Linked DNA regions of Mus musculus: region 1 is reported to be linked to region 2. The links are microRNA targets in miRTarBase. Many come from high-throughput screens and were not tested one by one. Region 2 holds a microRNA gene; the other region holds the end of a gene's coding sequence.
The links. The annotated mature microRNA mmu-miR-1949 reads CUAUACCAGGAUGUCAGCAUAGUU and lies in region 2 at 2,217-2,240, shown strand. An mRNA with a match to its seed (bases 2 to 7 or 8) in the 3' UTR can be bound and repressed. Matches are read on the target gene's strand: a 7mer-m8 pairs with bases 2 to 8, a 7mer-A1 pairs with bases 2 to 7 and ends in A, and an 8mer does both.

Region 1 (3,404 bases), not on the chromosome of region 2:
CTCCATTAGGATCCCAAGCTCAGTCCAGTGGTTTGCAACCATCTTTTAACTCCACTTCAAAGCAGTCTGATGTCCTCTCCTGGTCTCTGACAGTGCAGCAATCATATGCTACATTTTCATAATACAGTCATGCACTTATACCCACAACAACAAAATAAGTAGATCTTTAAAAATAGCTAAGTCCATCAACTTCGGTTTTGCCATGAGCAAACTCTTGCTCAAGTGTGGAATTTATAAGAAGGTAACAGAACTGAACCCCCTCATAGGCTAGTTAATATGCCTGATACACTGCTTCTTTTAGCATGACGAAAAGCTTGGGCTCCTCTAACAAGATGTCCCAGGAAACAACGGAAGAAAAACTCAGATGTAATAACCTCTCTTCCCTGTTTGTCTTGCAGACCATAGACAGAAGTGAGGATGTCTGCCTGAACCTTTACCTTCAATGAAGAAACGTCACTGAGCAAGAAGTTAGTTGGCCTCCGGTTTGCACAGGCGCCAAGGGAAAGCTTTCTTCTTCTTTTATTTTTATTATTTTTTTTATTATTTTATATTTTACTCAAAGAAAACAAAATTTTTATGTGCTGTGCGAATGGTTCCTCCGTGTGGTCTAACACTTATTTTTGTCTTTTTTTTTTAATTAACGGGAAAAAACAAATCCCAGAAAGGGGTGGGGGATGGCAAACATCACAAGTTGATGCTGTCTTTGGAAAAACAGAATTTGCCTGAAGGTATAAGTAGATTTGTTTTTTAAAAAGTAGAAACACCAATGTCAAGAGTTGGGCAACCAGATGTTTAAGAAAATTATTTTCCTCAGTAATTAAGCTATTTTTTTCCTCTTCTTTTCTTTTCTTGTTTGAACCTCCTGGGTTTTTTATATATATATAAATATTTTATGTTTTCTTAGAAATATTTAGGTAAGGTTTATCTTGAATCTTAATTGCCTTAATTTTTAAGGACGTCAAAGGCTCCAGAGGCATGCTTTCAGCGTCTTGTTAAAAAAAAAAAATCAAGAAAGAATTGAGTTTTTGTGCCAGCCTTCACTGACATAGAAGATGGAGACTGAGTTTTTAGGGTGGAAAAGAAAAAGAAAAAAAAAAAAACAAAACTGTACAGTTTGAAGGAAAATGTGTTTTCTTCATTTGAAGAAAATTTGTTGATAAAAGAAACCAAGGCAACCGCAAGAGTTTGGAAACGCTGGGACTTCTCATGAACTTTGACACAATCACTCTAAAAGGCTAAAAGACATTTTATGGTAAAGTTATTCACGTTGGTTTTAAAAACAACTGCATTAGAAATAATGCAAGTTTGGGGGGCAGAATGCAGATTTTTTTTTTTTTAATTTACAAGAGCGTGGTTGCTAGCGAAAGCGTCAGTGCTTTTTATCTGCAGTTTTTTCTATGAGCTTTGTCAGGTTTTAGTCAGCTTTGCTTGTCACATTGCAAAACCTAGCATAAGAGCACTCAAAACAAAACTTAAGTAGATAGACGCTTATGGTCAAAAAGTGCAAAAAAATAAAAAATAAAACAAAAACACACACACAAAAAAACAAACAAAACAAAACAAAAACAAAAAAAAGCAATAGATAGAGAAATTGTTGACAATTTCTGTAGTCTTTCTTAGTTGTGGTCAATTGCAGCCTATGGATGGCCTATTTTATACCAAAGATGAAGTGAGACCCTGTTACAGGCGTGATGGTAGACACTGCTTTTCTTTCTTTGAAGTTTTGTTTGACCTACATGGCCGGACCAGTTCTAACTTCATTTAAACTACCTTCCACTAGTGTGTTACATACCACAAAAAAAGAAAAAAGAAAAAAAAAAACATTGTTTTTTCTAAAAATGTGTATTTGTCAATAGTTGAAGTTTGTTCCTACCCTGCTCAGCAGTTTAAGCATGAAGAATCTGAGACCCAGTGGATGAATGGATGCAGGCGGCTTTAAGTCCTGTGAGCTTTGCTATCTCTTGACCAGCGCTCTCAGCAGTGGATCGACGGCCACCAATACACCCCGTCAGTTGTTCAAGAGATTGAAATGCCCTCATCTGAACTTCAGGCTAAGGATGCTTCCTGAAGGATGCTTCTGATGTCTGAAAGGCCATTTGTCAGAAAGGCTGTGATGTTCGGAGCTGTGGGTTGTGGTCCCCAGAGAAGTTCTCACGAATTGGTAACAATGTTTCTTTCAAACACTGACAGTAACCAATTTTTGTCTTCTCACCTTGGTTTAGTTATCAGCCCTCCTCACACAGGCGCTTTGATTCTGTGTTTGGGGAGGGAGTGTTTTTCTTTTACCTCCTCTGCCTGCTGTGTTCTCATATCTTGATACTGACAGGAGAGACAACACAGCCCTCTTTAAATTTTGGTTTAATTCTCCAAGATAAGTGGGGCCGTTAAGATCTAAGACTCCTTTGAGTGCAGTAGGGGCAAGCTCTTAACACCTTAGTTGACAATCAATAAATTTTTTTCAACAAGAACCACAAGAACTAGGGGTTGATCCAGCACCGAAACCAAAGGAGATATTTGCACTTAGAATAATGCAAAACTTGGCTTAAAATGATCTAAATTGGCTTAGTGAGAGAGTCCTAACTGTTCTGACTCATCAGATCTGGGATCAACGGATCTTGTTTTCCTGGAAGTTAGAAGCAGTAGCTTGGAACTCCGTTCATGGGACCATTCCCAAGAACTGCTTTTGAATGAAACTTTGAATCAAGTAGGCAAAGCTCTTTTCTGCAGGTTACTCCATCTGAGTGCATAGGGAGGACACAAAACCGAGCCGCTGGAGAGGAAAAGAGAGTAGGCTTTCAGAAACAAAGTAACTTGTAAGGCAAATCACAGTCCCATTAGGCCCCACAACTAATGAGTCTGCAGGTCCATATTCTGCTGTCTCACTAGACCCTCCTTCTCTTCTTTGCAACCCTGTGAACTGAGAGCTCAAACCCAGAAAGTCATCTTGTATGTTGGTCATCAAACTAATTACAGAACAGTATCCAAGGAGACAGCATCACACTGCAGAGACCTTGTGGGCTTCGCCTTTATCCTAATGTCTTTCCCTGCTTTGGAGGGAACCTGAGATGCCTACATCCTTCTGTCACACCAGTCAGCTCCCTGTGTGTTGGAAGGGTGGACTTGAACATGTCTATGGAAAGCAAGCCCTCAAGTTCCAGGGGCTCTCAGAAAACTCACTGAGACCCAACTTTCTCTTTCTCCTTCGGCTTCTCTCAATTCTCTGTGTAAGTGAGGATTATCCTGGGCATCATTCATTTGAATATGAAACCAACATACTTTCTTGTCCTTTCTGTAAAAGAACAAAATGCCTGTATTCACGTGATACAAAGAGAGTCTCATTTGCATTACCGATAATGAGGCTTCAAGGTAGCTACCATGTGGCAGCTGAAGGTGCCTAGGGAACT
Region 2 (3,404 bases):
AGGGTCTTGTCGGAATCAATTTGGAGCACCAAGTGTTTTCAAAGGGGTATGCTAGGGTTGTAATGCACAGGAACACCCCCACCCCCTTTCACTATGAAGGAACTGAGGAAATAGATAATAAATCATGTTGGCAGATGGCAAGGACAGTGGCTGATTCCAGGAGGCTTGCTTGACCATTATTGACAGGTGTCATAATCAACAGCCTCGGCTGCGAGTCAGAAAGCAATATCTGAAGGAGTTACAAAATAGATCCAGGAATTGCGATTGGTGGGCCTTGCTCTTATGGGCCCTGGGCAGCATCAACAGGACAACAGGACAATTGTTCAACAGGATAGAAGCATAATCACTACAGGGCAAAGGCAGCAACGTTAGTGTTCAGAAGAAATCCTGGTAACAGAGAAGTGTATACTTAGATCCAGGATATGGCCTTCTTTAGCTAGCTGTGTCACTGAAGCAGCCCAAATCTGCCAGAGAAAGCCAGTCTTAGCTGCTGCCACTCAGTTAAGGGTTTTCAATGAAGGACGTCAAGGCTGTGGTCCGCAGGGTTAGACTACAGCATTGACCGGCCTAATCTAACTAACATCCAGAAAAGACCCAGAGCACATAACCAAGCGACCTGCATGTGTGGGAGTTCCATTAACCAACTAACAACGCAGATGATGAAAGCCAGAAAGATCTGCACGTGGAGGTGCAAAATCGTGGGCTAGATCTGCAGAAACCGCGACCGCTAGCACTAGGTAGGCAGTAGGTCTGGCTCCCATTAGGACACAAGGGGCTTTAAATTTAGCAGCTGCAAACCCAGGACTCATATACTTAAGGAACCCGATGGGAGCTCAGGGAATGTAGCCTTTGTGAGGAAACTAGCCAATTCTCACACCCAGGTCTGTTCTTATAGGGATGTCGCTGTCCTCCCTGGTCAGCCTTGTGTGTTTCTAGTCCCGCCTCTCTTGGGCGGGACTCATCGCTCCGCCCTGCAACCGCCCCAGGGCGGGGCTCCCGCCGGCTCCCGGCTGCCCTTTCCACCGCGGCCTCTGCCGAGGTTGGTGTGTCCTGCGGAGCTCCGAGCACGTGCGGGTGAGTGAGGTCCCAAGGAGCAAGGGGTCTGGAGGTTTTACTAGCCCAGGCGAGAAGCGGGGGCGAGAAGGTTTCTGCCTGGGCAGGAAAAGGAATTGGGTTTTTTTTTTTTTAAATTTTTTATCTCCGGTCTTGGAGGTCATCTTAAAGGGAATAGCCCGAAGAGTCACCGCCAGTGAGGTACAGTACCCCTATCCAGCTAGGAAGTCACCTGGAATCTGGCTCCTTTAAGCGTTTCCGGAGCCCCAGACAAGGACCGAGAAAGGTTTCAGTGGAACACGTGTCCGGGGAGAACCAGATCTGCTTCAGCCCACGCCCTGAAGGGGCTTTTAGACCTAAACCATGAGTCCTGTATTCCTTTTCCTGTTCCATTAAATTGGTCAGAATTGGTTAGGGGTGAAGTTTGGACTTGGATAACTTGCCCTTAGATATGTTAAAATGATATGCAAACCTCAAGCACAAGCTCCCTCACACTACATCTACATTCAATTACTATTCGAAGTGTTAACTTTTATTGTCTTTAAAAATGTCCCGTATTTAAGCCTGTTGTCTAGATTTAGTCAGCCCCCACCCCCCATCTTTACTAAAGTGTCATTTTTAAAAGTGGTTCTCTTAAGTGCAGGATGGCTGGTTCTGGAGGCAGTCTTACTGTTTTGGCTTCCTACAAGTTAAGATTACAGGAATCAGCCACCAGAGCAGTGCACTGTGGTCCAATCTACCTGATGTACAGGGGTAATGGCTAATGCCGTTCTACAAATAAGAACTCCAGGGAGTGGACTTAGCTAGTGGAATGGTTATTTGGGGGTGGAGCTCCCAAAGTCACACTGTTTCTCTACTCTTGTTTCTTTGACTCAGCCCAACAAAGTGAAGGGGGTTTGAGGGCTGGAGATGGTTTTTTAACTTAATTGCACAGGTGTCGACAGGCTGACTCTAATCTGGGATGTTTTGATTTCATAGTGGCCAGCTGCCAGTTTGAGGCGATGTCTGCCCTGGTAAGTACAGTTCGGCTAGTTCCGGTTTGCCCCAGCTGTAGGCAGCTACCTAGGTTTCCTTGTACCTAGGCAAGTGTTACACTGCTGGGAGAACAGCAGCCAATAGCTGGTTGGCATTCTGGGCCTGGTTCATGCCACCTCTGTTGTTAACTATACCAGGATGTCAGCATAGTTGCTTACCCAGGAAGAGAAGCGCAAGCTCTGCAGGAAGAAACCTGAAGTCCAGATCTTCCGACATGGAGGTTACTTAAATCACAACTTGGAAATGGAACTGAGTAAAAGCCACTGAGGGAAATAAATAGGAAAAAAAAAAGTCAAGATTTAGTGCCTGTAAATGGTTGGGAGCGGACCTGAGGCAGTGGAGGGAGTTACTAGACTGCACGTTCACTAAAAATAGGATGTTTCCTCGCTCCACAATAATAAAAGCTAAGTCATGATCCCCTTTAGTGAGCTCCCTGTTGGGAATATTGAGTCTGGTGTTGTAGTATGCAGGGCCCCTTCAGACCGTCCAGGCAACCTAGATGCCCAATCTCTATTACTATTCTGCTCTCTAGCTCGTCAATAAATTTATGCATATTAATTGACCATGGGGTTCTGGGAACTAGCTTAGGTCAAACAGTACAATGAGCAGTTAGGCTCCCCCTTTTCTGTTATTCATGATGATTTTCTAAGAAATGCCTCAATTTTAGGCAAGTAGTGATCACTGAATGAATCTGGTGTTTAATAGAGCCAACATAGTTAGCTTTTGTGAGAGCATCCTGGTTTCCACAGGGAGACATAACCTTTACCTCCCTCATATCCTGAAGGGTTGGTGGCAGCCCCCACCTGTGTCCTTCCGTTTTCCCTGTGGACATGGGTGCTAACCAGGCTGCCTTACTTAACACCTACCTCGGCGACCCAACAGGACGCCCCGGGACTTGAGTAGCTCAGGGATAGTTGTAGCTGAGCTATACACAGGCTTCCTTAACCAGTTCCAGAAGTCTCTTACCTGACCCCCTGAATGTTTTTGGGGGTGAAAGCGCTTGCCAGGCCCACCAAGCACCCTAGGTTGAGCATCTGCTGACATTCCCATCAGTAGCCTCTACATTGCTCACCTTAGCTTCATCATTGCCCTCCCATGTACATCAATATCCCTTTTGCTCCTCAGTGTAGTACCTAACGCCCCCACCCCCTAACCAGTCAAGTTCTTACAGGAAAGTTACTATCCCATATTACCCACTCCTAGTTCTACCACTCTATCTACCTGCTCTTTGATTGAGGCCCATAATTACTTTACTACTGTTCCTTAATGGCACCAGCTTAGCCCTAAAAATACCCTCCAATAGGTCACTGAGCCTG

Region 1: the mRNA of Rbms3 is a reported target of mmu-miR-1949. Seed matches in the 3' UTR shown: 7mer-A1 at 728-734.

Annotation. Positions count from the first base shown.
Region 1 is chr9:116,575,697-116,579,100 of GRCm38, reverse strand. It overlaps Rbms3 (RNA binding motif, single stranded interacting protein), which reads left to right. Exons shown (of 15, transcript NM_001172123.1): 15 at 399-3,404. The coding sequence ends at 405. Among named protein-coding and RNA genes, the nearest start is that of Gm39449, 52 kb to the right of the region's middle.
Region 2 is chr18:35,552,396-35,555,799 of GRCm38, forward strand. It overlaps Mir1949 (microRNA 1949), which reads left to right and starts at 2,172; the gene lies at 2,172-2,241. Snhg4 (small nucleolar RNA host gene 4) reads left to right here and starts at 1,015. Exons shown (of 4, transcript NR_038073.1): 1 at 1,015-1,074; 2 at 2,032-2,066.